Macaca fascicularis: one gene and its partner. The protein of the gene in region 1 purifies or fractionates together with the protein of each later gene. This does not show direct contact. Links are inferred from orthologs where the notes say so. Each region holds a gene or a part of one and is shown in the gene's direction. Other genes may lie near its edges. The genes, in order: DNAJA2 and PLD2.

Region 1 (14,697 bases):
GCTAATTAATGAGGCAGGGTTTGACACGACTGAGTTTGAAAGGCCAGCAGCAGGGCTAGAAATACCACATACAACTGTGCTGCCCCATCACTGAATGATCTACTTTAAGCACTGAAAAGAAATTCAGAGATTATTCAGTGATCCAAGTCCCACAATTTTTTTTTCTTTTTTTTTTTTTTTTTTCTTTTTTTTGAGATGGAGTCTCGCTCTGTCGCCCAGGCTACAGTGCAGTGGCCGGATCTCGGCTCACTGCAAACTCCGACTCCCGGGTTTACGCCATTCTCCTGCCTCAGCCTCCCGAGTAGCTGGGACTACAGGCACCTGCCACCTCGCCCGGCTAGTTTTTTTTTGGTTTTTGGGGTTTTTTTTTTTTGTATTTTTTAGTAGAGACGGGGTTTCACCATGTTAGCCAGGATGGTCTCGGCTCCTGACCTTGTGATACGCCCGTCTAGGCCTCCCAAAGTGCTGGGATTACAGGCTTGGGCCACCACGCCCAGCCCACAATTTTTTCTTTCCAGAGCACTAACAATCATCAAATGACGTGGTCCTGACACCCTCATAACAAGAACCATCAGTACCTTCTTCTGTATTCCGCCAAAATATTTTAACCTGCATCACTTACTCTATACAGTCAAACCTAGTTAAAGGCAGAAAGCAAAACCACTTTCTGAACTGCCTGAATGATATATCTAGAGTTGTCTAAGTAATGGATTACACAGTTCCCAATTACTTGTGAACAGTATGAATGGTCTTCAAAAATACTACAGTTCCTATACTCCCTGCCCCATTCCATATCCACCTCCTCCCCCTGCCCCAGTCCATATCCACCTCCTCTCCACCCCAACCCCTCACAGTTACACAAGCATACTAAATCAAAGTAAAGGAATTGAACACCAATATAAACCTGGCAGAAATCTGAAATCACTGCCGCCTCAAACTTGAGATCATTGCAGCGCTCAGGTGTACTGTGACTCAGCATTTTACAGTGCCTGAGACCTGAAATGATATAAAGGTCCTTTTCCCTTCATAGCATTGGCTAAATATGAAGCCAAAATAAATATGCTATCTCAAAACAGTTAGTGGCTGAAACATTACAGTGACACAGGTTTACTTCAGTCTCTGATTCTTGGGAGAAGAGCCTGTGTCAGTTTAAACACACAAAGTTCTTCTGAAATAACTCAAGCCATAAAATTAGCAAATTATGCTGACTACAATTAATACGCAGAAGTGGAGAAAATATTGCAAAGAAATGAAAATGAAATTCAAAAATAGTTACTGTGGTTACTGGTCTAGTCAGGTAAAAAAATAATAATAATAATAATAACAAGAACAAAAGAGGGAATTTACCCAGCTACTCTTCATTACAATATCAGAAGCTAAAATGGCATCAAGAGAGAATTTTTTCCCCTTGGAAAAAAAAAAAAAAAACTGAGTAAAACTGAAACAAATAGGAAACTCCAGCCCTTTTAAACTGTTCACGGGCAGAAGGCTAATAAGATAAAACAATATGAAATAAAAAAGATAAATTAATATGAAGGTTGCAATAAAGACAGATTTTCAGTTCATATTCTCACGTGGAGCAGGAACTAACAGAGAAATGAGACTGACAAGCAAGGAGATCTGGGAAGACGAGGTCATGAAAAGGGACAGACGGGCGTTTCCCATAGGTAATGGAGGAAGTCAGGGAATCCCAGTAGAAAAGCCAGAAATTTAAATGAGTAAAGACAATGTAAGCAAATAGGCCAAAAACAATAGTTAATACTTAATTTGTTTTAGCTTCTAAGTAATTTTTAAAATTTTAGTTATTTATTATTTTGAGACAGGGTTGCACTCTGTCACCCAGGTTGGAGTGCAGTAGTATGATCTTGGCTCACTGCAACCTCCACCTCCTGGGCTCAGGGGATTCTCCCACCTCAGCCTCCCGAGTAGCTGGGACTACAGGGGTGTGCAACCACCCCCAGCTAATTTTTGTATTTTTAGTAGAGAGGTGGTCTTGCCACGTTGGCCAGGCTGGTCTCAAACTCCTGACCTCAAGTGATCCATCCACCTCAGCCTCCCAAAGTTCTGGGATTACAGACCACAGCGCCCAGCCCTAAGTAACAGAAATGTATTAACTCTTTTAAACCAATGATATAAAAAATAATAAGCCCCATCTTACACCTGAGGAAACCACCTCAGAAAAGTTAACTTGTTGAAGGTCACATTGTTCCTAAATGACAGAGTCAGACTACCAACCGACACAATCTAACTTCGCCACAACTTTACACCTTTTCTTATGAACATCTCAAAATGTGAAAAGTAGAGAATTGGATTTCACAGCCATGCATGAGGAGGATGTCAGCATTTACACGGCAATCGTGGTTGGCAGAGGCAGTGGCTCAGGCCTGCAATTCCAGCACTTTGGGAGGCCAAGATGGCTGGTTCATTTGAGATCAGGAGTTCGAGACCAGCCTGGTCAACATGGTGAAACTCCACCTCTACCAAAAATACAAAAATTAGCCAGGCATGGTGATGGGCGCTTGTAATCCCAGCTACTCGAGACGCTAAGGTGGGAGAATCACTTGAACCCGAGAGGTGGAGGTTGCAGTGAGCTGAGATCGCGCCACTGCACTCCAGCCTGAGGGACAGAACGACACTGTCTCAAAAAAAAAAAAAAGAGTTCGGGATCCTACCACATTGTTGCACATTTTTTGTACCACAAAAGGTACAAACGAAGGGTGGTGGGAACTCGAATGAGACAGCAGTGTTCACCAGTGTCCAGTCAAGGAAGACTTCACAGAGGGAGCAGGATTTCAGATGGGATTTGAGGAAAAGGGTTTAAGGACTATCAATGACTTATCACTGATTACTCTTAGGGTTTTCGGGCTAAATTTCAGAGACCTTGTCATGGCATTCAGGCCCTCCACAACTAGGTCAAGGGGAACGCCAAGGAAGAAACATTATCCTGAGTAAGATGCTTATACTGAAGTCTTTGCTATCAGTTCAGGTTCCAAGGGATCATAAAATCTTACTTTTCTGTCTCCGTAAACCGTAAATGGGTTGAAGGCAGGCACTTTTGTAACACTCCTCTCTCCGGACCAGGCCTCTGTACATCATAGCACGTGGTAGATGCACAGCATTCACTTTCTGAGCGAAACTAAAACGAATGTAAATCAAGTCACCTGGTGGCCAGAGTTGCCTTACACCATCTAAACCTCTGGTATTAGCTAATTTTAAAGCTATCAAGAGGCTTAAACACGTGGTCCAGAAGCAACACGTGGACCTTGGTTTGGACTGGAATGCCACAAACCAATTGTAAAAGGCCATGCGATCATTTGAAAAACCTAAATATAGACTGGGAATTAGATTAAGGAATTGTTAATTTCATTAGATGAGATTACGTCGTCATGCTTTTAAAAGTTGTCTTAAATATATACACTCAGGGTATTTATGAATGAAACGGTTTCCCTGAAAACACCAGAGATGTATAGGGGAGCGAATGAAACAAAATTGGTAAAATGTAGCTAACTGCACTACGGGGTGTAATAGACTGCTTTTGTTGAATGTTTCATTATTCCCATAACATAAAACACAACATACACACACACACGCTCCCCAGTTTTTTTCATCGTAAGCCCCGAGGGAGCCAGACCCAGAGGGTCCACCGACGTCCTGGATTCTGAGAACGATTTCTGCGCGCCAGGCTGGCCTCCTGCAGGAGCCGGGGCCCACTTCCTTTCCCGACCGACTCGAAGCTAACGAAGCTGCCGCGTAGGCCTGTTAATCCCCTCAGTACCCAGTGCGAGGTTAAACACGCGACGTCGCAACCATGGCCTTTGAGAGGAAGCTGAATTCCTGGGGTGCGCCGTGTAGAGTTCATTTCCTACGTCGGCCCAGCACAGCAGCCTGGACCCAGAGGAGATCAGAGAACCAGCCACACTCTTCACCACCCCGACCCAGTGGCCGCGCCTCGGGCGCTCGGGGGCGGGCTCCGCACTGCGACGTCACGGCGCACCGTGCGCCCGGTCAAAGTTCAGCCCCGCCCCCGCTTCCCCCTCGCTGTCTCCCTCGGCCTGATCCGCTGCCGACGCCGCTTGTGGGCCCGGCTCCTCTGTCTGCTCCGCCACCTTCTTCCTGAGCACTGCCCGGCCGGCCGCCATGGCTAACGTGGCTGACACGAAGCTGTACGACATCCTGGGCGTCCCGCCCGGCGCCAGCGAGAACGAGCTGAAGAAGGTATCCGGGAGCGGGCCGGGCGGGCGGGTGTGAGGGGCGCGGGGCCTGCGCGGCCGGGGATGTCTTCTTCAGCCAGGCCGCGCTACTGGGCGGCCCGCGAGCCGGCGCCGGCCGTGACGGGCCCGGGCTGGGGATCGGCGGCGGCAGCGGCGGGACCGGCCTCGCGGCGAGCCGCGCCCTCCGGCCTCGGCTGACCTTGGGCCGCCGGCCCCGCCCGCCCGCAGATGCAGCAAATAAAACTCACTCCTGCGCAAACACGACGGTAGCCCTTCCTCCCTCCTCGGGCGAGCGCCGGTGGCCGGTCTCCCCCAGGAGGCAGCAGCTCGCCCGGCTCTCCGCGTCGAGGTCACCACCCCGGAAAAACAGGTTGGACCGAGGTGCTCAGCGCATCCCGGCCCCGGGAGAGAAGCTGTCCACCCCGCGGCCGTCGGCCCCGGGTCTGGTGCTCCGCGGGGAAAAACGGCGGGGAGGTCCGGCGGGGAGGTCGAGGCCGCCCCCACAGAGCGCCTCGGGCAGATGGGGTTGTTTCCTGGGATCCCCGGCTGCGGGCTGCGGGAGCTCCTCCCTCTCTTCCTCCCTCGCCCATTGACCCGGAGGTAGCGTGGGTCTGTGTTTGGATGCATTGTTCTGTGGTCAGGTAATGCTAATGTCCTGTACCTGCTTAGGAATAAGCCGTGGTCCCAGCCAAACGCCTGAGTGTGCAATAAACATGAATAGAAGGCCTTATTATCGCTGTTTGCAATGCTGCGATATCTTTCATCTCAGGATTTCAAAGCACACGAGGCGTTTAAGCCCCACAGCATCCTCACCGGGCTAAGAGCATCCGGATTTGTAAGCCGAGAAAAATGAGAATGCTCCTTAGGCAGTGAGAAGAGTGCAGTGGACTTCCTGTTACCTTACCGGAAATGCTAGTCTGTATTATATAATTCACGAGCCTCCGTAAATGAAGATTTAAGTGCTGTATGACCCAAACACCTCGTTGAGAGTGTGCAACTTCACTACCACCGAAGTTGCCACCACGACCCCAGTTAACCACCACGTGCAAATAAAACACCTAAAGACACTACCTGGGACCACCTTGACTTTTTCATGATGTTACAGTTAGAAGGAAGGCCTGAGCCATCGGGAGCAGGAATTGTGACTTTAGCTTGATTTATAGTAATGTTTTGCAGTCCGTAAAGCTTGACAGTCATTTATCTCAAATTTATTAGAGTGGTCTTGGTCTGGTTACTTGGCCATCAGACACTTGACGATAGGGAAAATATGGATAATGTTTGAACGTTTTCCCTATGGTATTGCTTCATTGTTTTATCTGGTTTTCACGTCACTGTAATTATTTTCAAGTATAGCTACAGTCTACTTGGTTATATTACATTAGTAAACAGTATCGTGAGGAAGTGCCAAAGAATACGAATAGAAAATATTTTTGGAAGGTTATAACTCTAGAACATTACTTTTCAGAAAAGTGGATGTTAAGTTATTACAAAACTTTAAACTGGTGTTTAGTTATAACCTTCTTTGTTTTTGTCCATTTTCAAAGGCATACAGAAAGTTAGCCAAGGAATATCATCCTGATAAGAATCCAAATGCAGGAGACAAAGTAAGTTATTTGCGATTTTTTTATTCCGGGGGTTTTAGTTTTAACTTAAATTGCCCTCCTTGAAAAAAAGGAATGTTGCAGGAAAAAAATCCAACTATGCCCACACAGCCACATTTTCATAATGTCAAAGAGTATTTTAGTTTTAGAATAAGAGTACTACCATTCTGAGGAGTGGTGGGTGGTAAATAGAAGCAGAATCAAGTCAAAGGTAACTTGTCCCTTTTATTAGAATTAAATGGATTCTGGATTCCTATAGCCTCTCCCCACTCTTCTATTTGAAAATGTAATTATTTTTATTTTTACCTTTTCTTTATAGTTTAAAGAAATAAGTTTTGCATATGAAGTACTATCAAATCCTGAGAAGCGTGAGTTATATGACAGATACGGAGAGCAAGGTCTTCGGGAAGGCAGCGGCGGAGGTGGTGGCATGGATGATATTTTCTCTCACATTTTTGGTGGGGGATTGTTCGGCTTCATGGGCAATCAGAGTCGAAGTCGAAATGGCAGAAGAAGAGGAGAGGACATGATGCATCCACTCAAGTGAATATCTTGTTTTGTTGTGTTAAAAAATTAGGTACTTTTTGTCAAGTGGAATATTGACTCAGTAGAAGAAAAAAAACTCATAGAATGTTCTGTCCTTCATTAGAAAAACTTCCATGTGCCTTGTCTTCTTTTGGTGACTAAATAGAATTTGATTATCTGACTGTTTCTATTTTGCTGTAGCTCTTAAAAGGATGGTAGATATTTTTTAATGAGAGGAAGGTGGTTTTATATGGTTCTGAGGCTGCTTGTTATTATAGGACTTAAAATTTCAAGTGTAAAGATCGTTTTCTTTTTTCTTTTCTTTCTTTTTTTGAGACTGAGTTTCGCTTTTGTTGCCCATGCTGGAGTGCAATGGCACAATCTCAGCTCACTGCAACCTCCGCCTCCTGGGTTCAAGCGATTCTCCTGTCTTCAGCCTCCCGAGTAGCTGGAATTACAGATGTGGCACCATGCCCAGCTAATTTTGTATTTTTAGTAGAGGTGGGGTTTCTCCATGTTGGTCATGCTGGTCTCGAACTCCCAACCTCAGGTAATCTGCCTGCCTCGGCCTCCCAAAGTGCTGGGATTAGAGGCGTGAGCCACCATGCCTGATCTTTTTTTTTTTTGAAATGGAGTCTGACTCTGTCACCCAGGTTGGAGTGCAGTGTCACCATCTAGGCTCACTGCAACCTCCGCCTTTCAAGTTCAAGCAATTCTCCTGCCTCAGCCTCCCAAGTAGTTGGGATTACAGGCACCTGCCACCATGCGGGGCTAATTTTTGTATTTTTTTAGTAGAGACAGGGTTTTGCCATGTTGGCCAGGCTGGTCTTGAATTCCTGAGCTCAGGTGATCAGGGATTACAGGCATAAGCCACTGCACCCAGCCTATTTTCTTTGAAGTATATGAATCTTCCAAGTTACCTTTTATTTAAAAACTAAAAATGAGTGACTGTCTGCCTACTTTGTGTACATGTTAGAGTCACTCATTACTTGATCCTCAGTGTGAACTCTCTTAAGTTGGTTTCCATGGAGCTTGCTGGCTTCCAGCCTGACATTAACCTGCCAGCACATGAATGGTGCCTGACCTTGATCTTAGACTGTGAATCCACAAGCCCTCTCCAGTATATGAAATTAGCTATTTCACTTTGCAAAATCTGGGAGGTCTTTTTTCCCATTCTTTTTTTCGATAAATTATTTTATTAGCAAATGTCAGTGGCTGAAGTTCAGATACTTAAAATATTTCATAATATCCTAGTTTATACACTTGAGTAAATTAGAGGAAGTCATGTTATCTGTTAACTTGAGTCTCATTGAATCCTTAAATTTGTTTTTTAAAAGAATTTGCCCTCAGAAATTAACATTTGAATACCATTCCAATGGTAATATTTGTGCAGTGCAGGTTAATTCGTTTATATTTTTCTTTAATATAGAAATGATCTAAAAAGAAAATAGGATCAAAAGAGTGCTGTCTGTACTTTATAGTTCTTCATGTTTAAAGAAATGTTATGCTATATAGTAAAACAGTTTTCTGTTGTTTTAACATTTCAAATTTTCCTGTTATTACAAATACTGTGTTTATAATACTGCATTCCATGATTTAATCATTTACCTTTTATATAAGGTATTGCCAGGTTTTTTTTTTCTGTAATAGATAGTGCTGCTATGAGTATCTTTATGTAAAGCTTTGTTTCTCCTTGGCAGAGATTCCCAGGCAGGCATGAGTGTTTTGAGGCTGATAAATACAACTAAATTGCCTTGCACAGAGGGATTGTGCCAGTTTAGGCCCCACTAGTGGAGAGTGCCAGCCCTGCCAAACCATTACCTTCATTTTTCTTTCCTTGGCCTTCTTTGTTGAAATGTGTCTTTTTTTCTGGCTTAGGGTACTGGTTGTGCATATCAATTGTAATTTAATATGTAGGGGGAAAAAGCCGATTTTTAAAAAATGATTTGTTACAGAGAGTATAGAAGATGCAACAAGCTTTTTTGTCTAAGACTCAGCTGTAGATAGGTCATTATTTGACGGTGTTGTTGGTAATGTTTTGTCCTTACATGTGGAATTTTTATCCTGTCTACAACAGTTTTAAGTTTCTGAGAATAGGCCGGGCGCGGTGGCTCAAGCCTGTAATCCCAGCACTTTGGGAGGCCGAGACGGGTGGATCACAAGGTCAGGAGATCGAGACCATCCTGGCTAACACGGTGAAACCCCGTCTCTACTAAAAAATACAAAAACTAGCCGGGCGAGGTGGCGGACGCCTGTAGTCCCAGCTACTCGGGAGGCTGAGGCAGGAGAATGGCGTGAACCCGGGAGGCGGAGCTTGCAGTGAGCTGAGATCCGGCCACTGCACTCCAGTCTGGGCGACACAGGGAGACTGTCTCAACAAAAAAAAAAAAAAAAAAAATAGTTTCTGAGAATAACAATTTTGAGAAAGTTTGAATATCACAAAATAGTGTAGGTGCTTTGTAAAATACTTTTAACTATTTTTTTGTTCCTGTAACTCCCAGGATTTTAAAGCAGATCATTACAGGATGACCATTCCTAATCTGAAATCTGAAATGCTCCAAAATATGAAACTTTTTGAGCACCATCATGATGCCACAAGTAGAAAACTCCACACATAAGTACTTGTCTCACTCTGTCCCCCAGGCTGGAGTGCAGTGGTGCGATCTCAGCTCACTGCAGCCTCAATCTCCAGGGCTTAAGCAATTCCCTGCCTCAGCTTCCTGGGTAGCTGGGACTTCAGACATGCCACTATTCCTGGCTAATTATTTTTTATTTTTTGGTAAAGATGAGGTCTCTCTAAGTTGCTCAGGCTGGTCTTGAACTGCTAGGCTCAAGCAATCCTTCCTCATTCTCCCGAAGTGCTGGGATTATAGGCATGAGCCACTGCACCTGGCATGAAAAACGATTCTTTCCCTCCTTTCTGTCATACTATTGGTAGGGCCACTTTTATTTTTTTTTTTAAGACATATGCCATCTAAGTGACTCACTTAAGCTGAAATACAACTTTGTAGCCTTTCTAAATTGTCCATGGAGCAAACAGGGACTCTGGAGCCAGACACCTATGTGATCTTGGGCAAGTTACTTGACTGTTCTGTGCCTCAGTTTTATCACATAAAATGGGAATAATAATCGTACCTCTTCTGAAGTGTTTTTCTTAGGAGTTGGGTGGAGGGCTTATGCCTCAGAACAGAAGGTTGTGATGTTTGAGTTTGTGAAGTCATCAGCTTTATCAGAAATTCCACCACAGCAAATTGTTGACCTGATGCTATGGGCTCTGACTTTGAGTATCGCATATATACTGTCTGTAGTCATAAAATATTTCTGTTAATTTCAGCCATAAAATAAACCTCAGTTGAATGATTTAATGTGAGATTATGAGGTGTTTTTGAATTCTGTTTTAAAAGTTGATAATGAATTTGCTGTATCAGCTGTTATTTATATCTTGTATTTGAGCAAATGTGGCAAAATTTGATTGAAGCTGATTATTTTCTTTCCAGAGTATCATTAGAAGATCTGTATAATGGCAAGACAACCAAACTCCAACTTAGCAAGAATGTACTCTGTAGTGCATGCAGTGGGTAAGTGTGTCCTCTGGTTTGTTGGGTACATTTTGTCTGTTCTTTAAGTGTCACACTGATTGTCTGTACCAGGTAAAAATTGTTATGAGTTAAAACTTACAGCCGGGTGCAGTGGCTCACACCTATAATCCCAGCACTTTGGGAGGCCGAGGTGGGTGGATCACCTAAGGCGGAAGAATCACTTGAACCCGGGAGGTGGAGGTTGCAGTGAATCAAGATTGCGCCACTGCGCTCCAGCCTGGGTGACAGAGTGAGACTCCATCTCAATCAATAAATAAATAAATCTTGGGAGAACGTTTTCTGATACTTCTGAAAGTCAATTTAAACACAAGTTATTGTGTTTAAATACAAGTTATTGGGGTTGAAGTTAAGGTAAAAGTACAGTTTCTGTGTGTCATAGCTTATTGGAGTGGTCTGTGGACAAAAACCTAATGCATAACTTGTGTTTGCTTTAGCCAAGGTGGAAAGTCTGGAGCTGTCCAGAAGTGTAGTGCTTGTCGAGGTCGGGGTGTGCGCATCATGATCAGACAGCTGGCTCCAGGAATGGTACAACAGATGCAGTCTGTATGCTCTGATTGTAATGGAGAAGGTATGTGTGCCAGTACTTCTCTGCTTTTATGTTGAAATGGATTGAGAATGCAGATATTGGAGAGGTTTACAATTTTTTATTTCAAAGGGTATTTGTTTACATCTTATTAAAGAAAAAGGAGGCCGGATGCGTTAGCTTATTCCCATAATTCCAGCACTTTGGGAGACAGAGGTGGATTGCTTGAGCCCAGGAGTTCGAGGCCAGCTTGGGCAACATAGGGAGACCTCATTACTATAGGAAAAAAAGTGTAGAAAAATATGTAATCAGGGGCTCAGGGCATGTCTGTGGTCCCAGCTGCCTGGGAGGCTGAGGCGGGAGGATTGCTTGAGCCCGGGAGTTCAAGGGAGCAGTGAGCCGTGATCATGTCAGTGCACTCCAGCCGGGGCGACAGAACAAGACCCTGTTGCAAAAATAAAAGCGTGAAAGTAATTACTCCATTATGCCTAAGCCCAGTGAACGTAGAGAAACAGTAGATGTGTATTGTGTTAGTGAAAGGTGACTCCTTAATTCTGAAAAGAGGGGCAAGGTGATTATTTGTTCCTTTGCTATTTCCTTCTTTATCAAATATAACCTTTTATATACTGTCTCTGTAGAAATGACCACCATGGGAGGACTATCTCCTTTCTCAAGTAGAACCTTTTAAACTACAAAGGGACAAATAAATAATAAATAACTAAACAAGTAATTGTTTAGTTACTCTGATAAGTAGAAGATTTTACTGTAACCTTTAGTTAGCTTTAAAGAATTGATTTTGAGATTGAAACTGTCCTCACAGAAGTAAATAATTTAGTCTTTGTGGGCCAAATAGTTTTTGTTACAACTACACACCTCTGACTTTTAGTGCTTTTATAGCCACAGACAAATGGGTATGGCTGTGTTCTGATTAAAATTTTAATTATAAAAACAAGTAGCTCCTCCCACCCCTGCCATTCTAGAGCAGTGCTATCCAATAGAATTTTTTTCTGTGGTGATGGAAATGTTCTGTATCTGCAGTGTTCAGTACAGTAGCCATTAATCACCTGTGACTACTGCATACTTCACATGTGGCTAGTGTGACTGGGGAACGATTTTAAATTTGAATTAATTTAAACATAAACTTAAGTAGCTACAGGTAGATAGTGGCTACCACATTAGACAGTATAGTTCAAGAGCATCCTTTTCCACATTGCTATTGGAAGTGATGAGATAATTATGAGAAGCTACATATGATGTTTGCTTCCTGGATAATCTTGGCATTTTACTTTATTTTTTAAAATTATTATTATTTTTGGAGATAGGGTGTTGCTGGAGTTCTGTGGCGCATTCTCGGCTCACTGCAGCTTCCACCACCCACGCTCAAGCAATCCTCCCACCTCAGCCCCTCACCCCACAATTAGCTGAGACCACAGGTGCTTGCCACCACGCCCAGCTAATTTTTGTATTTCTTGTAGAGACTGGGTTTTGCCATGTTGCCCAGGCTGGTCTCGAACTCCTGGATTCAAGCAATCCTCCTGCCCCAGCGTCCCAAAGGGCTGGGATTACAGGTGTTAGCCACCACTCTTGGCCTGCTTTTATTTTATTAAAATTGCTAACTCCCACTATCAAGAAACCAAAGTTAACGGAAATCTTTTCTCATGTACCATTACTTTTTTTTTTTCTTTTTTTTTTTTTTTTTTAAATGTGAGACAGAGTCTTGCTCTGTTGCCTAGGCTAGAGTGCAGTTGCGCGATCTCAGCTCACCGCAGCCTGTGCCTCCTGGCTCAAGTGATTCTGCTGCCTCAGCCTCCTGAGTAGCTGGGATTACAGGCGCCCGCCATGACACCCGGCTGATTTTTGTATTTTCAGTGGAGACGGGGTTTTGCCATGTTGGCCAGGCTGGTCTCAAACTCCTGACCTCAGGTGATCCTCCTACCTTGGCCTCCCAAAGGGCTGGGATTACAGGCGTGAGCCACCATGCCCCGCCACCATTACCATTTTGAAGAACTGGTGTTTCGCAGAACATACTTTGCAAAAGTACTGTTACAGAAACAGCCCCTAAATAATCAGTTATACACATCTTTCTAAGCCTCCAAATGTGCCAGTAATTAGCCATTAGAAAGTGACGCAATTTTTTCACACTATACTATGTATAATCACAGTTTTGCTTTTTTATACCATAATTAAATATTTCAGAAGAATATATAGAAGAGAAAAGCCGTGTTGCCCTAAACATGGTATGGATACATTACATTCTGAAATAGTGGGAAGCTGAGTCCTTCAGGCAATCTGCAGTAGTAAGATGTTAAGTTTTTGTTATTCAGAATAATGCTTTTTTTTGTTTTGTTTTGAGACATGGCCTCACACTGTTACCCAAACTGGGGTGCAGTGGCATGAGTATAACTCACTGCAGCCTCGACCTCCAGCAGTCCTCCCTCCTCAGCCTTCCGAGTAGCCAGGATTACAGGTGTGCACTACCATGCCGGCTAACTTTTTTTATTTGTAGTAGAAGCAAGGTCTCACTGTATTGCTAGGCTGGTCTCAGATCCTGAGCTCAAGTGATCCTACCACCTTGACCTCGCAAAATATTGGGATTGCAGGCTTGAGCCACTATGCTTGGCCTCAGAATGCTGCTTTGAATAAAAATTTAGGTAGCTATTTAAAAAAATTCAGAAAGTATATTTAAAGGATAAGAGTATTAAAGAGTACAGTATAGTACTCTTGCTGAAAGTTTCAATGACTTCTTTTTCCAGGAGAGGTAATTAATGAAAAAGACCGCTGTAAAAAATGTGAAGGGAAGAAGGTGATTAAAGAAGTGAAGATTCTTGAAGTCCACGTAGACAAAGGCATGAAACATGGACAGAGAATTACATTCACTGGGGAAGCAGACCAGGCCCCAGGAGTGGAACCTGGAGACATTGTTCTTTTGCTACAGGAGAAAGAACATGAGGTGATTTTCCTTTTTTTAGTTTTTTGTGTTTTGTTTTATTCAGAAGTACTTCTTGTTTGTGAGAAATAGGTTAGATCTGTTTGGAGTCCCTGGAGCAACACTGCACACTGGAGAAGTTAAGGGAATCATGGCAAATTCCTAAAGACAGGCTTGTGTAAGAAAGACTAACAAGGCAGGTGCCATTAGAAGCACTATAAGAGTCAGTTTTAGTCCTGGCTTGGTTTTTTTCCCCCCCCGCCCAAGATGGAGTTTCACTGTTGTTGCCCAGGCTGGAGTGCAGTGGCGTGATCTCGGCTCACTGCAACCTCTGCCTCCCGGGTTCAAGCGATTCTCCTGCCTCAGGCTCCTGAGTAGCTGAGAATGCAGGCGCGCACTACCACTCCTGGCTAATTTTTATTTTTAGTAGAGACGGGCTTTCTCCATGTTGGTCAGGCTGGTCTTGAGCTCCCGACCTCAGGTGGTGCGCCTGCCTCAGCCTCCCAAAGTGCTGGGATTAACAGCGGGAGCCACTGCACCCAGCGTTGGTCTTTTTTTTTTTTGACGGAGTTTTTTTGACTGCACCCAGGCTGGAGTGCAGTGGCGCAATCTTGGCTCACTGCAACTTCCGCCTCCCAAGTTCAAGCGATTCTCCTCTAGCTTGGTCGTTGACTAGCACTTTAACCGTAGGTAGTCTTACTGTCTCAGTTTCTTTGTTTATGAAAATAAGGGCACTGGGCGTTGGACCAGTTGGTCTAAGGCAGCCTGTTTTTTCACTGTGAAACTCTGCTGCTCTGTTGATTTGGTTTTTACTTATTGGGTAGCCAAGTGAGCTATCCTTGAAAGAGTTCTAGGATTTAAAAAAAACAAAACAAAACAAAACATTTTTTTTAGAAGTTTCTGAAGAATGTGGTCACTAGTGTATGTTTTGGGGTTTTTTTGTTTTTGAGATGGTCTTGCTCTGTTGCCGAAGCTGGAGTACAGTGGCGTGATCTGGGATCACGGCAACCTTTGCCCCTGGGCCCAAGCAATCCTCCTATCTCAGCCTCCCAAGTAGCTGGGACAACTGACGCACCATCATGCCCATCTGGTTTTTTGGGGTTTTTTGTTTTGTTTTGTTTTGTTTTTGTATTTTTAGTAGAGACGGGGTCTTGCCATATTGCCCAGGCTGGTCTTGAACTCCTGAGCTCAAGCAGTCCTCCTGTCTCGACCTCCCAAAGTGCTGGGATTACAGGTATGAGCCACCATGCCCAGCCTAGTGTATGTTATTTTGATTTTAGCATTGCACTTGTATATTTTTAATGTCCATATT
Region 2 (15,466 bases), on another chromosome or scaffold:
CTCAGTGCCTATGGGGGGTATGATGGTAAGGCAGTCCTTTGCCATTGGAGGCTCTGGGAGCTCCTACATCTATGGCTATGTGGATGCTACCTACCGGGAAGGCATGACCAAGGAGGAGTGTCTGCAATTCACTGCCAATGGTGAGAGCTTAGGCTCCTGGGCCTGTGAGCTTCAACCCCAACTACCTAAGCCAGGCCAACATTCCTCATTCCTTGCAGTGATCCCAGCATCTGACTCTGAACCCAGCTTTCTCCTTTTATCCACAGCTCTCGCTTTGGCCATGGAGCGGGATGGCTCCAGTGGAGGAGTGATCCGCCTGGCAGCCATTGCAGAGTCAGGGGTAGAGCGGCAAGTACTTTTGGGAGACCAGATACCCAAATTCGCCATTGCCACTTTACCGCCCCCCTGAATCCTGGGATTCTAGTATGCAATAAGAGATACCCCGTACTGATGCAAAATTTAATAAAGTTTGTCACAGAGAATCTTTATACTTTGGGGTTCTTTTTTTTGACTTCAAGGTTGAATTTGTCTGGCCCATTCCTATTTGTATAAACCATTGCACTGAACTCAGAGCAAGTTGGAGAGGAAATGAAAGGAGGTTATGAATGCTTGATTCCCCAATAAGCTTTTACATGGGTGGTTTTCAAACCTCTTCTCCAAACCACCTTCCCCCAAACTTTCTTTCCCCCACCATATCCAGGTCCTTGAACCACTGGATTGTGGTTGGTGTTGGGGGTACCAGCAACACCCGCTCCCTGTTCAACCCCAAGGTAGAACTCGGAATTCTGACTAAAACTGGAGTCACCTTCCTCAGCCTGCTTCCTGCCAGTCACCATGGGTGACTACTGCTCCTAAGTCCACAAAGAGCAGCTTCCTCCAGTCCAGCCTCATGGTCCCCTCTCTCCACACTTAACCTCTATCACCTCATCTTGTGATCAACAGGCGCACTGTGACTTCCTTGGCTTTTGGGAGAAAGGTGGGCCTTGTTTGCAAATGGAATTTAAGATGACAGTTGAGTGGGAGAACACAGCCACCAGGAGTGCTTTTGGCCAGCTCTGGAAGCCACCATTCCCATGGTGGAGGGTGTGATCAGCCCCTTGAATGAGAGGCTGAAAATGGACTCTGGCCCCTCCGAAGCTGTCCCCATTCAAGCCAGGGACATAAAGGAGCTTGATAGCTGGGACTACAGGTATGTGCCACCTCACCTCAGGCCTAATTTTATTATGTATTTTTTAGAGACAGAGTCTCACTCTGTCACCCAGGCAGCAGTGTCACTGTCATAGCTCACTGTAACCTCAAACTCCTGGGCTTAAGTGATTCTCCTGCCTCAGCCTACCAATGTGCTGGGATTACAGGCATGAGCCACTGTGCCTACCCTTTTTTTTTTTTTTTTTTTTGAGACGGAGTTTTGCTCTGTTGCCCAGGCTGGAGTGCAGTGGCCTGGTCTCAGTTCACTGCAACCTCCACCACCCGGTTTCCAGCGATTCTTCTGTCTCAGCCTCCCAAGTAGGTGGGATTACAGGCGCGTGCCACTGTACCCAGCTAGTTTTTGTATTTTTCATAGAGACAGGGTTTCACCATATTGGCCAGGCTGGTCTGGAACTTCTGACCTTGTGATCTGCCTGCCTCGGCCTCCCAAAGTGCTGGGATTACAGGCATGAGCCACCACAGCTGGCCTTTGTTTTTTTTTTTTTTTTTTTTTTTGAGACGGGGTTTCATTCTTACTGCCCAGACTGGAATGCAATGGCGTGATCTCAGCTCACCGCAACCTGCACATCCCAGGTTCAAGCGATTCTCCTGTCTCAGCCTCCTAAGTAGCTGGTATTACAGGCATGCACCACCATGCCCAGCTAATTTTGTATTTTTAGTAGAGACGGAGTTTCTCCACGTTGGTCAGGCTGGTCTCAAACTCCCGACCTCAGGTGATCCACCTGCCTCGGCCTCGCAATTTTTTTTTTTTTAAGATGGAGTCTGGCTCTGTCCCCCAGGCTGGAGTGCAGTGGTACAATCTCGACTCACTGCAACCTCTACCTCCTGGGTTCAAGCGATTCTCCTGCCTCAGCCTCCTGAGTAGCTGGGATTACAGGCGTCCACCACCACGTCTGGCTAATTTTTTTGTATTTTTAATAGAGACGGGTTTCCACCATGTTGGCCAGGCTGGTCTCGTACTCCTGCCTAGGCCTCTCAAAGTGTTGGGATTATGGGCGTGAGCCACCGCACCCGGCCTAAAATTCATTTTTTAGAGCAGTTTTAGGTTCACAGCAAAATTGAGTAGAAAATACAGATATTTCCCATGTGCTCCTCTCCCCACGTGGGCAGCCTCCCTCACTGTCAACATTCTGCACCAGAGATGGCCATTTGTTGGAACTAGTAAACCTACGCTGACACATCGCTCCCCGATTTCCACGTGGCTACTCATCATTCAGCTCTCAGCTCAAATGTCACCTCATCAGGAAGGCATTTCCCGACCACCTGAAACTGGAGAAACACCACCCCCTAGTCCCACTCTCACATGACCCTGTTTCACTTTCTTCACAGCAGCACATATCACTGTCTTGGGTTCACTTAGTTGTTTACCTGTGTATGATTGTCTCCCTACCTCTACTAGAAAGTCAGCTCAGTGAGAAGACAGAATTCTTTCTTTCTGGTTCATTGATATCTCCTCCATGCCTGGCAGGGGTAGATACTCGGCATTTTACTGAATGAATATGCTTTCTCATCCCATCTGCCATCCTGCCCAGCCCCCAGCCACCCCAGACTGTCTTCAGCACACTCAACTCTGAAGCTTGATGTCAGCCAATTCTTACTTTCCCACTTGTCACACCTGGGCTCTGCATGAGATGAGCTGCCTCATATTCATCATTCCTGTGTCTCACTCCACCATAGGCAACACTTCCCATCTCAGCCCCATAACCCAGCCCTGCAGCCTTGGCCCCATCTACTTCCCCTGCACACACACACACAGCACTTAGCAACTACGAACATATTTAATGAGAAGGTTAGAAAGGACTTGGGGAGGTGGACATTAGGATCGCTGAGAAGTCTGGGGAAGGAAGCTTGCTAAGCCTTCCTGGAGGTTCAGCTCCTTGTCCCCTTCAAATGGTGGAGTCATTGGCCGATGCTATGTCATGCAGCTGGTGGCGGAAGGAGAGTCGGGCTTTCCTGCTGAAGTAGGCACCAGGCCCTGGCGAGGGTACCCCTCCCTCAGCCATGATGGGGGCTATAGCTGGACTGGGATCTGGAGGGGCAGCAGGACTCAGGCCTAAAAGATGGGAGAGGAAAGAAGGAAGTTGTAGGTCAGGGTTCACCTCCTCCCTCGCCCCCAACCCAGGGTTGAGGAGGGAAGCAGGGAAGACACCTGGGGCCTGGGGACCAGTGAGGAGCGTGGGTGACAGCAGCAGGGAGAGGGAGAGGGACTGTTGCAGAGCAAGCAGAGCTGGCTCACACGCATGTGACCTGTGCAATTGCATAGGATCCCCAGACTCAAAAGGGCCACCGTGCTTGGCATAGGGTTCTGCTATCACCATCTTGAAATTCTTAATTTTTTTTTTTTTTGAGACAGAGTCTCACTCTGTTGCCAGGCTGAAGTGCAATGGCACTATCTCGGCTCACTGCAACCTCCGCCTCCCGGGTTCAAGCAATTCTCCTGCCTCAGCCTCCTGAGTAGCTGGACTACAGGCGCCCGCCACCACGCCCGGCTAATTTTTTGTATTTTTAGTAGAGATGGGGTTTCACCGTGTTAGCCAGGATGGTCTCCATCTCCTGACCTCGTGATCCGCCAACCTCGGGCTCCCAAAGTGCTGGGATTACAGGAGTGAGCCACTGCGCCCAGCCGAAATTCTTAAATTGTTAATGAGGGGCCCCTCTTAGGCATTTCGAACTGGGCCCCACAAAGTATTTAGCCAGTCCTGTGAGGACTTTGGTGACCCACCTCCCACCCAGGGAGACAAATGTGCCTTTTCCTTTTGGTGGTTTGAGCATTTCTCTCTCTCCCTGCGATGCAGTTGTCTGTCTGACTGCCTGACAGCCCCACTTTACCCTCAGTCTACCCCATACCTGCTCCTCTTTCAGTCCCCCGCTGTCTCCGGCACCCGCACCATGGGAAACACCATGCCCCCTTCAGACCCATCTCAACAGTGGAGGCAACTGGAGTGGGGAATGGCCAGGAGGGCTCCCGGGAGAGGGGTGTGGTTTCCGAGCCCCCCCACCATGGGCAAAACTACCACTTAGCTTCAGACCGCCTGGTGATTATAGGCGCCAGGGATGGAATGGGGAGAGGAGGGGGGAAGAAAGGGCTGGGGTATACTCCCATTCAGACACCTATTTTTATGCCCCATTAATTTGGGGGTCCTTTCTGATCCCCATGGAGAAGCAGGAGGTGGTTGGGAGAGGTAGCACGGCAGGGACAGATGCAGAGGTGCCGTGACAGATACAGTAAAATTTCACTATAGCAATGCCCGACAACTTGGCACCAGGCTGGACACGGCTGGGGATTCGTTTGTATTTTAGAATGAGACTTGGAGTGCCCAAGATGTAGACTTTAAAGAATACTCTATTTTTTTAGACTAAGAAACTTTATTATCCAGGGAAATGTTAGATTCTCATTAAATGGTCTGATGGTTCCTGTCCCCTGTTATGAAGATGGTTATAATTGATTAATGATGCTGTGTCAGGTAAATGCTAGGAACTTTTACATGTTATCTCATTTCACTTAATCATGTCAAAGATCTTTTTTTTTTTGAGATAGAGTCTCACTCTGTCGCCCAGGCTGGAGTTCAGTGGCGCGATCTTGGCTCACTGTAACTCCGCCTCCCGGGTTGAAGCAATTCTCCTACCTCAGCCTCCGGAATAGCTGGGACTACAGGTGTGCACCCCCATGCCTGGCTAATTTTTTTGTATTTTTAGTAGAGACGGGGTTTCACCACGTTAGCCAGGCTGGTCTCAAACTCCTGACCTCAGGCAATCCGCCTGCCTCTTCCTCCCAAAGTGCTGGGATTACAGGCGTGAGCCACCACACCCAGCCTCAAAGATCTTTTGAGGTAAGTCCCTTGCTGGTAAGTCTATCCTGGTTTTACAGATGAGGAAAAGGAGGCACTGAGAGGCAAGGTAATTTGCCCAAGGTCACACAGGCAGGCAGTACAGAGTAGGAACCATGCCCACCTCACAACCCTCACCTTGAGTCAGTCTGACCCCAAAATCTACTCTTTTTTTTTTCGAGATGGAGTCTTGCTCTGTTGTCCAGGCTGGATTACAGTGGTGCAGTCTTGTCTCACTGCAACCTCTGCCTCCAGGGCTCGAGTGATTCTCCTGCCTCAGCCTCCCAATTAGCTGGGATTACAGGCACCCGCCACCATCCCCAGTCATATTTTGTATTTTTAGTAGAGATGGGCTTTCACCATGTTGTCTAGACTAGTTTCGGACTCCTGACCTCAAGTGATCCGCCCACCTCAGCCTCCCAAAGTGCTGGGATTACAGGCGTCAGCCACCACACCCAGCCAGAATCTACTCTTTTAACCAGTACACTGAGCTTCTGAAGCATGTCCCCAAGCATCGATGCCCTCAGCCAGTTTGGGGTGGCCAGAGCCGAGGCTCTGGTCCTCTAGTCAGAGACCCTCTAGTCAAGAGCATCCTAGCCAAGGACTCTAAGTGCCCGTAAGTAAAGCTGTACAGGGGCTGTTTCATCATTCCGTGAAGGTACCACAATGTGGGAAACGTGAGGTTGCTGATGACACATACTGCCCGAGTTACACAGTCTTTTTTTTTTTTTTTTTTTTTTGAGACGGAGTCTCACTCCGTCACCCGGCCGGAGTATAGTGGCACTATCCCAGCTCACTGCAACCTCCGACTCCCTGGTTCAAACAATTCTCCTGCCTCAGCCTCCCAAGTAGCACGCGTCACCATGCTCAGCTAATTTTTTGTAATTTTAGTAGAGATGGGGTTTCACCACGTTGGCCAAGATGGTCTCGATCTCCTGACCTCGTGATCCACCCACCTCGGCCTCCCAAAGTATCGGGATTACAGGCGTGAGCCACCACGCCCGGCCTTGTTTTTCTTTCAATGAACTTTATTGAAGCAAAAATGTACATACAATTTAATGCACACATCTTAACGTACAGTTCCATGAGTATTAACAAGTGTATGCTCCCATGCAATCACCACTCCTATCAAAATATAGGGCATTCTCATCATCCTGGAATGTTCCCTCACGTGTCCCTTTACAGGCAATCTTTTCCTTACACCCTGCCACAGGCAACTACTGATCTGATTTCCATCACTATAGATTGTTTTTGCCTTAAATTTAGAAGTTTATGACCAGGCGTGGTGGCTCACGCCTGTAATCCCAGCACTTTGGGAGGCCAAGGAGGGTGGATCATCTGAGGTCAGGAGTTCCAGACCAGCCTGGCCAACATTGTGAAACCCCATCTCTACTAAAAATACAAAAATTTAGCTAGGCGTGGTGGCCGGTGGCTGTAATCCCAGCTACTCAAGAGGCTGAGGCAGGAGAATTGCTGGAACCTGGGAGGCGCAGGTTGCAGTGAGCCGAGATCCCGCCATTGCACTCCAGCCTGGGCAACAAGAGCAAAACTCCCTCTCAAAAAAAAAAAAAAAAGAAAAGAAAAAATTAGCAAAAGGCCGGGGATGGTGGCTCCCGCCTGTAATCACAGCACTTTGGGAGGCCAAGGAGGGCAGATCACTTGAGGTCTGGAGTTTGAGACCAGCCTGGCCAACATGGTGAAACCTGTCTCTACTAAAAATACAAAAATTAGCAGGAAAGCCCTTGAACCCAGAAGGGGGAGGTTGCAGTGAGCCGAGATCGTGCCACTGCTCTACAGCATGGACAACAAGAGTGAGACTCCGTCTCAAAAAAAATAAATAAATAAATATTAGCAAAAGACTGAATAGGCACTTTATAAAAGAATGCATACAGCCGGGCGCGGTGGCTCAAGCCTGTAATCCCAGCACTTTGGGAGGCCGAGATGGGCGGATCACGAGGTCAGGAGATCGAGACCATCCTGGCTAACACGGTGAAACCCCGTCTCTACTAAAAAATACAAAAAATTAGCCGGGCGAGGTGGCGGGCGCCTGTAGTCCCAGCTACTCTGGAGGCTGAGGCCGGAGAATGGCGTGAACCCGGGAGGCGGAGCTTGCAGTGAGCTGAGATCCGGCCACTGCACTCCAGCCTGGGCTACAGAGCGAGACTCCATCTCAAAAAAAAAAAAAAAAAAAAAAAAAAGAATGCATACAAATGGCCAATCAGCACATGAAACATGGTCAATATCATTGATCTCCAGATAAATGCAAATCAAATTGCAATGGTGTGCCTATGACATCCATTCAATGGCCAACGCTAAAGATTTAGAATATCAAATGTTGGCTATGCCATAGAATAACTGGAACCACCATACACTGATTTTGGAAATCTAGACTGTAACAACCATTTCAAAAAAAATCGTGTGATAGTTTCTTATAAGTTAAACATACACTTACATGATCCAACAACTCCACTCGCTAGTTACCCAAGATAAAGGAAAACTATCCACACAAAGACAGGGATGTTTACACGAGCTAAAACAACGGGCAAAACTGGAAACACACATGTCTATCAAAAGAAGAGAAAAATAAATCTGCTTTTTAAAAAAGATTGAAATCTCTTGTATTTTAATACCCGAAAAAAATTTTATTTCCCCCCTAGACTGTCAATTCCAGCTGAGCAGGCTCCGTAACCATCTTATTTACTACCATACGCTCAGTGTCTGGCAAGGAGTAAGCGCGCAATACATGTTTGGTGAATGAATGAAAGAATGCCCGCTTTCTTACACTAATGGGTTTGTAGCCACCACCCCTCGGGCCTTTTACGCCCTCATTCCTTCCAGGTACAAACGCTATCTGGGCTAGGTCGAACGTGGCTCGCAGCGAGTCTGGGAGAGGGGCACCCACCGGCAGCTCCCGCAGCGGAGGCGCGTGTCCCCGGGGGCCGAGGCAGCGCCCGCGGCTGGAGGGGCCCGGGGCGGGAGCCAAGCGGAAGGATGCGCGCAGCGCGGGGTGCCCCGGCGGGCGGGCACGCTGGGACCGACGGCGCGGAAAGCCCCGACGCTTTGCAGCACTTGCCGGTCTCACCGAGAGAGCTGCGCGGCCCCGCGGCCCTGCAGAGCACAGTGCAGCCCCCGGGCTCCCGGTGGTGCGCGGGGCGGCGGGGCGGCGGGGCGGCGGGGCGGGCCGAGGGCGGCGGGGGCGGGACAGGACAGACGAGAATCCCGCGGAGGTGAGGCCGGGGGCCGTCCCGCCCCCGAGGGCAGGCCCTGAGCCCCAGCCCCGCCCCGGCCTGCTGGGGCGTGGGCTCCGGCTGCGGCTCCGGCTCCGCTCTGCTCGCTTGGCTCGGGAACCCGCGCGGGCGCTGGCTCCGTCTGCCAGGGTGAGGCGGCCGGGAAGGGGCGCGCGGGGGTCCCCGGTCCCGGGAATCGGGCGGGGACGGAAAGGGCTCGGGCTGCGGAGCCTCCAGACTCAGTCGCACGCTCAGATTTCGGGGTTTCTCCCCTCGGCGGGGATCGCGTAACTTCCTCATTCCTGCCTGGACCCCTGCCCCCGGCCCTCCTGGCCTGGCGTAAGCCCCGTAGCCCCGCGCTCTCCCGACCACCCGGGGCCGCTTCCCCGCGCAGCTGCTGTGCCGCCCCAGGTCGGAGCCTTCCGGGCCTGGCTGGGTGTTCCCCGGGTCTCTGGTTACGGGACGGGGCGGGGGTCGGGGAGCGGGACTGGGACTGGGATTGTGGATGAAGGACTAAGATAGCGGATGGGGGCTCGAAGGGGTCGGTGGGGCGTTGCAAACTGGTCGGTCGTCATCAGCGGGCGGTCAGGAGTCTGTGGGGGAAGAGGAGGACCTGGAAGAGATGGAGGACCTGCAGGAGTTAGGATGGGGGGCGGGTGCTGCAGGGCAACTCGCCTCCCTGAGGATTCCCTATATTCCTAGGATGATGGCGACCCCTGAGAGCCTCTTCCCCACTGGGGACGAACTGGACTCCAGCCAGCTCCAGATGGAGTCCGATGAGGTGGACACTCTGAGGGAGGGAGAGGACCCAGGTACACAGGGAATATGGATGGCCCTCGGGGAGGAGAGGCGTGGGGAGCCAGGGGGCTGGGGCCTGTGGGGGTCTACACTCCTCGACTTTCTTTCTTCCCAGCCGACCGGATGCACCCGTTTCTGGCCATCTATGAGCTTCAGCCTCTGAAAGTGCACCCCTTGGTGTTCGCACCTGGGGTCCCTGTCACAGCCCAGGTGGTGGGCACCGAAAGATACACCAGCGGATCCAAGGTGGCCAGACTGGCCCCAGGGAGGGGGAAAGGGAGGGCGGCCTGGAATGGATCCAAGGTGGCTGGGCTGGCCCCAGGGAAGAGGGAAAGGGAGAGCTGGCCAGAGTGGGGAGGCGGGGACTCAACACGGGGGTCATCCATTCAGTTCCTCACACCCCTAGGTAGGAACCTGCACTCTGTATTCTGTCCGCTTGACTCACGGCGACTTTACCTGGACAACCAAGAAGAAGTTCCGTCATTTTCAGGAGCTGCATCGGGACCTCCTGAGACACAAAGTCTTGATGAGTCTGCTCCCTCTGGCTCGGTGAGGGGAATCAGACTGAGTCCTGTAGAGGGCAGGTGCCCCCCACCCTCCTTTCTGCCTGTCTCACCCCCAGGCCACAATCTTTCCTCCCTGCAACTCTGGCCACTGGGCCCCTCCCCTGACCCCAGTTACCAGGAAACTTTCCCTGCTCAGCTTTCCCTGTCCATGGTTCTGTGCCAGCATCTCAGCTGGGCGGGATGCCCAAAATACTCTTGGCAGCCTCACCCTTTTCTAGTCTCCATTCCCAGGGTAGGGGGCCTTCCTTTTGCCAGACTCTAGGACTTTTGCTTGGTTTTTGTTTTTGTTTTGGACAAGGTCTCCCTCTGTCACCCAGGCTAGAGTGCACTGGTATGATCTTGGCTCATGTCAACCTCCTGGGCTCAAGCAACCCTCCTACTTCAGCCTCCCGAGTAGCTGGGACCACAGCCACCACACCCAACTAATTTTTGTATATTTTGTAGAGATGGGGTGCTGTTGTGTTGCCCAGGCTGGTCTTAAATTCCTGAGCTCAAGTGATCCACCTGCTGCAGCCTCCCCAAGTGCCGGGATTCCAGGCATGAGCCACCACACCTGGCCACCTCCAGGCCTCTTCTTTTCCTCCAAGCCCCATCTCCAGTGTTTTCAGGAACCAGAGCACCCAGCCTCCCAGCTCTTACCTGAACCTCATCCATCCTTTCCACAGTTTTGCCGTTGCCTATTCTCCAGCCCAAGATGCAGCCAACAGAGAGATGCCCTCTCTACCCCGGGCAGGTCCTGAGGGCTCTACCAGACATGCAGCCAGCAAACAGGTGGGACCAGATGCCAGGTCCTCTGGGAAGGCATTGGATGTGCAAATGACTCTGGTCCCATCTGTCTTTTTCTCTCTCATCTCCACTTTAGAAATACCTGGAGAATTACCTCAACCGCCTCTTGACCATGTCTTTCTATCGCAACTACCATGCCTTGGTAAGGTCCAGGAGCTGATTTTAGATGTGGAGCAGGATCATCAGACCCTCAGGGGGAGGAGGGCCAGGGGCCCCAGGGTCTGAGGAGCTGAAAGCCAGGTATCTCCTCTGGCCTTTTGTTTTCCTCTGCAGACAGAATTCCTGGAAGTCAGTCAGCTGTCCTTTATCCCAGACCTGGGCTGCAAAGGGCTGTGAGTGTCTGGCCCCCTTCACCCAGGCATCTGTAGACATCCCTCTTAATTTCTCCCTGCCTGAGAATGGGGCAAGCAGTGCAGGGTGGGCTGGGGGTCTGGAGTCCTCATCCAGCCTCTCTTCCTGATTGCCCCACAGGGAGGGGACGATCCGGAAGCGCTCAGGTGGCCACCGCGTTCCTGGCCTCACCTGCTGTGGCCGAGACCAAGTTTGTTATCGCTGGTCCAAGAGGTAAGGGCTATGGCCCAGCAGCTGGGCAGTGGGTGGGGGTGAGGAATAAAATTTCGAGGGCAGAGAGGAACACAGGGAGCCCTTCTGCTCTAGGTGGCTGGTGGTGAAGGACTCCTTCCTGCTGTACATGTGCCTCGAGACGGGTGCCATCTCATTTGTTCAGCTCTTTGACCCCGGCTTTGAGGTGCAGGTGGGGAAAAGGAGCACGGAGGCACGGTACGGAGTGCGGATCGACACCTCCCACAGGTGAGGCCTCCCTGGGGTGAGAGACACCGGCTGAGTGGTGAGCCAGCCTGCAGCCCTGCTGGGGGTTGAGTAAGAGAGACCACAGTAGAGAGGAAGGCTGTTCCACCTCCCGGGATCCGGACATAGTTTTGAACCAGGGAACTGGTCTAGCCAGATGCTTGGGACTGCTCTTAGAGACTGGGCCCAGAGAAAGGGGATTAGTAGAAGCCCAGGAAAGGAACTGCTGACATAAAGGAAATTCCATTTGTTCATTTGTTCATTCAACAAACCTGAGTGCCTGGTACAATACTGGTTGCTGATACAATACTAGGCTCCAACTGTGAGTAAGGTGGATACGGCCAGGCATGGTTTCTCATGCCTGTAATCCCAGCACTTCGGGAGGCCGAGGCGGGCGGATCACCTGAGGTCAGGAGTTCGAGATCAGCCTGACCAACATGGTAAAACCCTGTCTCTACTAAAAATGCAAAAATTAGCCAGGCGTGGTGGTGCTGGCCTGTAATCCCAGCTATTGGGGAGCCTGAGGCAGGAGAATCGCTTGAAGCCAGGGTGCAGAGGTTGCAGTAAGCAGAGATCGCACCACTGCATTCCAACCTGGGGGACAAGAGCTAAACTCTGTCTCAAAAATAAATAAACAAATAAGGCAGATACATACACGCCCTGTCTCTGTGGAGTTGTGATTAGGGACCAAGGGAGGAAGTGAGAAAGAAAGGGGAGGTCTCTGGGCAAGATCATATGTATGGAGGGCGAGGATTTATGGTCCATCTCATCGTTCCCATCCAGGTCCTTGATTCTCAAGTGCAGCAGCTACCGGCAGGCACGGTGGTGGGCCCAAGAGATCACTGAGCTGGCACGGGGCCCAGGCAGAGACTTCCTACACCTGCACCAGCATGACAGCTACGCCCCATCCCGGCCTGGGACCTTGGCCCGGTGGTGAGACACTGACATCCCTTCTGTGGCCTTCTTGACCCCCTGTCTCTGAGTCCTTCACCCTCTCTTTTATCTCCTCTGAACCCTTCTGACCTCAGCGATCCACCCTGTGACTTCCTTAATCTTCTTTTTTTTTTTTTTTTTTTTTTTTGAGACGGAGTCTCGCTCTGTTGCCCAGTCTGGAGTGCAATGGCCGGATCTCAGCTCACTGCAAGCCCCGCCTCCCGGGTTCACGCCATTCTCCTGCCTCAGCCTCCCGAGTAGCTGGGAGTACAGGCGCCCGCCACCTCGCCCGGCTAGTTTTTTTTGTATTTTAGTAGAGACGGGGTTTCACCGTGTTAGCCAGGATGGTCTCGATCTCCTGAACTCGTGATCCGCCCGTCTCGGCCTCCCAAAGTGCTGGGATTACAGGCTTGAGCCACCGCGCCCGGCCCTTAATCTTCTTGATCTTTGATATCTTTAACCACATTGATCTCTCTGATTTCGCTCTGACCTTTCTGACCCTCAGACTTGGTCATCTCTTCTGACCCTTGACGTCTGTAACCTCCTGTAACTTTTTAAACCCCCCTGTACCATACTGACCCTCTCTGTTCTCTATGATCTTCTCAAATCTGATTTAGTCCTTCATTTAACAAACATTTTCCTTTTTTTTTTTTTTTTTTTTTTTTTTGAGAGTTTTGCTCTATTGATCTCAGCTCACCGCGCCCGGCTATAAACTTCTTTTTTTTTTTTTGAGACGGAGTGTCGCTCTGTCGCCCGGGCTGGAGTGCAGTGGCCAGATCTCAGCTCACTGCAAGCTCCGCCTCCCGGGTTCACGCCATTCTTCTGCCTCAGCCTCCCAAGTAGCTGGGACTACAGGCGCCCGCCAACTCACCCGGCTAGTTTTTTGTATTTTTTAGTAGAGACGGGGTTTCACCGTGTTAGCCAGGCTGGTCTCGAGCTCCTGACCTTGTGATCCACCTGCCTTGGCCTCCCAAAGTGCTGGGATTACAGGCGTGAGCCGCCGCGCCCGGCTATAAACTTCTAAAACAGCCAAAACCGATCCACAGCGATGGAAATCAGATCAGCAGTTGCCTGTGGCAGGGTACGGGGCAAAGATTGTCTGGGCAATCAAACGGGGCACACGAGGGAACATTCCAGGACGATGAAAATGTCCTATATTTTGATAGGACTGGTGATTGCATGGGAACAGCGTACACTTGCTGATCCTCATGCAACTATACGAGATAAAGAAAATGCAGAACAGTCCAGGCAGAGAAGACAGAAATAGCTCAGGGCGTTTGGGAACCACCAGGACATATTGTTGTTACTGAGTGAGGAGGAGCAGTCAGAGGAGAGGCTGGGAGTCAGTGGCAGCTGATCTCACAGGCTCCCGTGTGCTAATATCACAGGCACAGGGCAGTCATGGACGGAGGTTGTTTTTGTTTGTTTGGTTGGGTTTTTTTTTTTTTTTTTTGAGACGGAGTCTCGCTCTGTCGCCCAGGCTGGAGTGCAGTGGCCGGATCTCAGCTCACTGCAAGCTCCGCCTCCCGGGTTCACGCCGTTCTCCTGCCTCAGCCTCCCGAGTAGCTGGGACTACAGGTGCCCGTCACAGCGCCTGGCTAGTTTTTTGTATTTTTTAGTAGAGACAGGGTTTCACCGTGTTAGCCAGGATGGTCTCGATCTCCTGACCTCGTGATCCGCCCGTCTCGGCCTCCCAAAGTGCTGGGATTACAGGCTTGAGCCACCGCGCCCGGCCTTTTTTTTTTTTTTTTTTTGAGATGGAGTCTGGCTCTGTCGCCCAGGCTGGAGTGCAGTGGCATGATACCGGCTTACTGCAGTCTCTGCCCCCCGGGTTCAAGCGATTCTCCTGCCTCCAGCCTCCTGAATAGCTGGGATTACGGGCATGCACCACCATGCTCAGTTAATTTTCGTATTTTTAGTACAGATGGGATTTCACCATGTTGGCCAGGCTGGTCATGAACTCCTGACCTTAAGTGATCCACCCGCTTTGGCCTCCCAAAGTGCTGGGATTACAGGCATGAGCCACCTCGCCTGGCCTTCCTACATATTTTCACATGTGCAGGCATGTGTTACTTTTGTTTCAACATAAATGAGATCATGCACCCTCTTCTGTGACTTATTTTTTCACTTAATACATGTGTGAGAGATTAGATACTTAGATTATTTCCCATTTTTCATTCTTACACACAATGCGATGAACATGATCTTTGCCTAAGCATTGTGTAGGTTGTATTCCTAGATGTAAAATTACTGTGCATATTTAATGATATTAAAGGCTATGTGCATTTAATATTTTGATAACTGCTGGCCAGTCGCTGTGGCTCATGCCTGTAATCCCAGCACTTTGGGAGGCCGAGGCGGGTAGATCACTGGGGTCAGGAGTTCAAGACCAGCCTGGCCAACATGGCAAAAACCGTCTCTACTAAAAATACAAAAATCAGCCAGGCATGGTGGCGGGTACCTGTAATTTCAGTTACTTGGGAGGCTGAGACAGGAAAATTACTTGAACCCAAGAGGCGGAGGTTGCAGTGAGCCAAGATCGTGCCATTGCACTCCAGCCTGGGTGACAGAACCGGACACCATCTCAAAAAAGCTATATATATATATTTTTTTTTTTCTTTTTTGATACTGCCAAATTGTCTCCTAAAAGTTATATTCCCGTAGTCTATGAGAATACCCACTTCCCCAGCATACTGAATATTCCCCAGCATATTGAATAACATTCTGATATGCTAATATGCTGATATTGAATGTTACTAATGATTTTAATTATTACCCATCTAATGGATATTTTCAATGTAATTTCATTTTAACTTCTTCGTTTACTAGTGAAACAGAACATCATTTGCCACAACTGGCCATTTTAATTTCTCTGTGAACTGTCAGTTCTTACGATTTGCTCATTTTTCCGTTGGCTCATGTGACTTTTTCTTGTCGACTTATTGGTGTTCTTTATGTATGATGTAGTAATCCCCCCATTCTTTAGTTGATTAGGTTATTGTGTCTTTTTGTAATTTTTATTTGTATTTAGCGTATATGGGCAAACACTATTTTGATATGTCTGATACCGCTTGTGCTCTCTGATCATTCCTGATCTTTGACCTTGCTGTCACCTCTGACCCATGACTGTCCTCCGGTCTTCACTCTCCAGAGCTTTCTGGCTTCTGACTCCCCTGACCTCCTTGGCTTGGCCTCCCCCCAGGTTTGTGAATGGGGCAGGTTACTTTGCTGCTGTGGCAGATGCCATCCTTCGAGCTCAAGAGGAGATTTTCATCACAGACTGGTGGTGAGTGGGAAAGGCCCCAATAAGATG

Evidence for each region.
Region 2: the proteins of DNAJA2 (region 1) and PLD2 purify together in Homo sapiens (affinity purification with mass spectrometry; 3 studies listed by BioGRID and IntAct, with this or other methods). This does not show direct contact. The link is inferred for Macaca fascicularis from reciprocal best matches to the Homo sapiens genes DNAJA2 and PLD2.

Annotation. Positions count from the first base shown.
Region 1 is NC_088394.1:42,890,714-42,905,410, reverse strand, and holds the start of DNAJA2 (dnaJ homolog subfamily A member 2), read left to right. Parts: upstream 1-4,037; 5' UTR 4,038-4,137; coding exon 4,138-4,215; intron 4,216-5,755; coding exon 5,756-5,815; intron 5,816-6,131; coding exon 6,132-6,355; intron 6,356-9,834; coding exon 9,835-9,915; intron 9,916-10,370; coding exon 10,371-10,504; intron 10,505-13,212; coding exon 13,213-13,409; intron 13,410-14,697. UniProt on the Homo sapiens protein: Co-chaperone of Hsc70. Stimulates ATP hydrolysis and the folding of unfolded proteins mediated by HSPA1A/B (in vitro).
Region 2 is NC_088390.1:4,901,389-4,916,854, forward strand, and holds the start of PLD2 (phospholipase D2), read left to right. Parts: upstream 1-7,970; 5' UTR 7,971-8,027; coding exon 8,028-8,179; intron 8,180-8,328; exon of another isoform or gene 8,329-8,674; intron 8,675-8,965; coding exon 8,966-9,075; intron 9,076-9,176; coding exon 9,177-9,307; intron 9,308-9,467; coding exon 9,468-9,610; exon of another isoform or gene 9,611-9,730; intron 9,731-10,292; coding exon 10,293-10,398; intron 10,399-10,489; coding exon 10,490-10,555; intron 10,556-10,686; coding exon 10,687-10,745; intron 10,746-10,884; coding exon 10,885-10,977; intron 10,978-11,070; coding exon 11,071-11,223; intron 11,224-12,003; coding exon 12,004-12,153; intron 12,154-15,355; coding exon 15,356-15,439; intron 15,440-15,466. Other genes in the region: PSMB6 (proteasome subunit beta type-6), read left to right, coding at 1-140, 267-409; C16H17orf114 (uncharacterized protein C17orf114 homolog), read right to left, coding at 3,096-3,262, 9,518-9,560.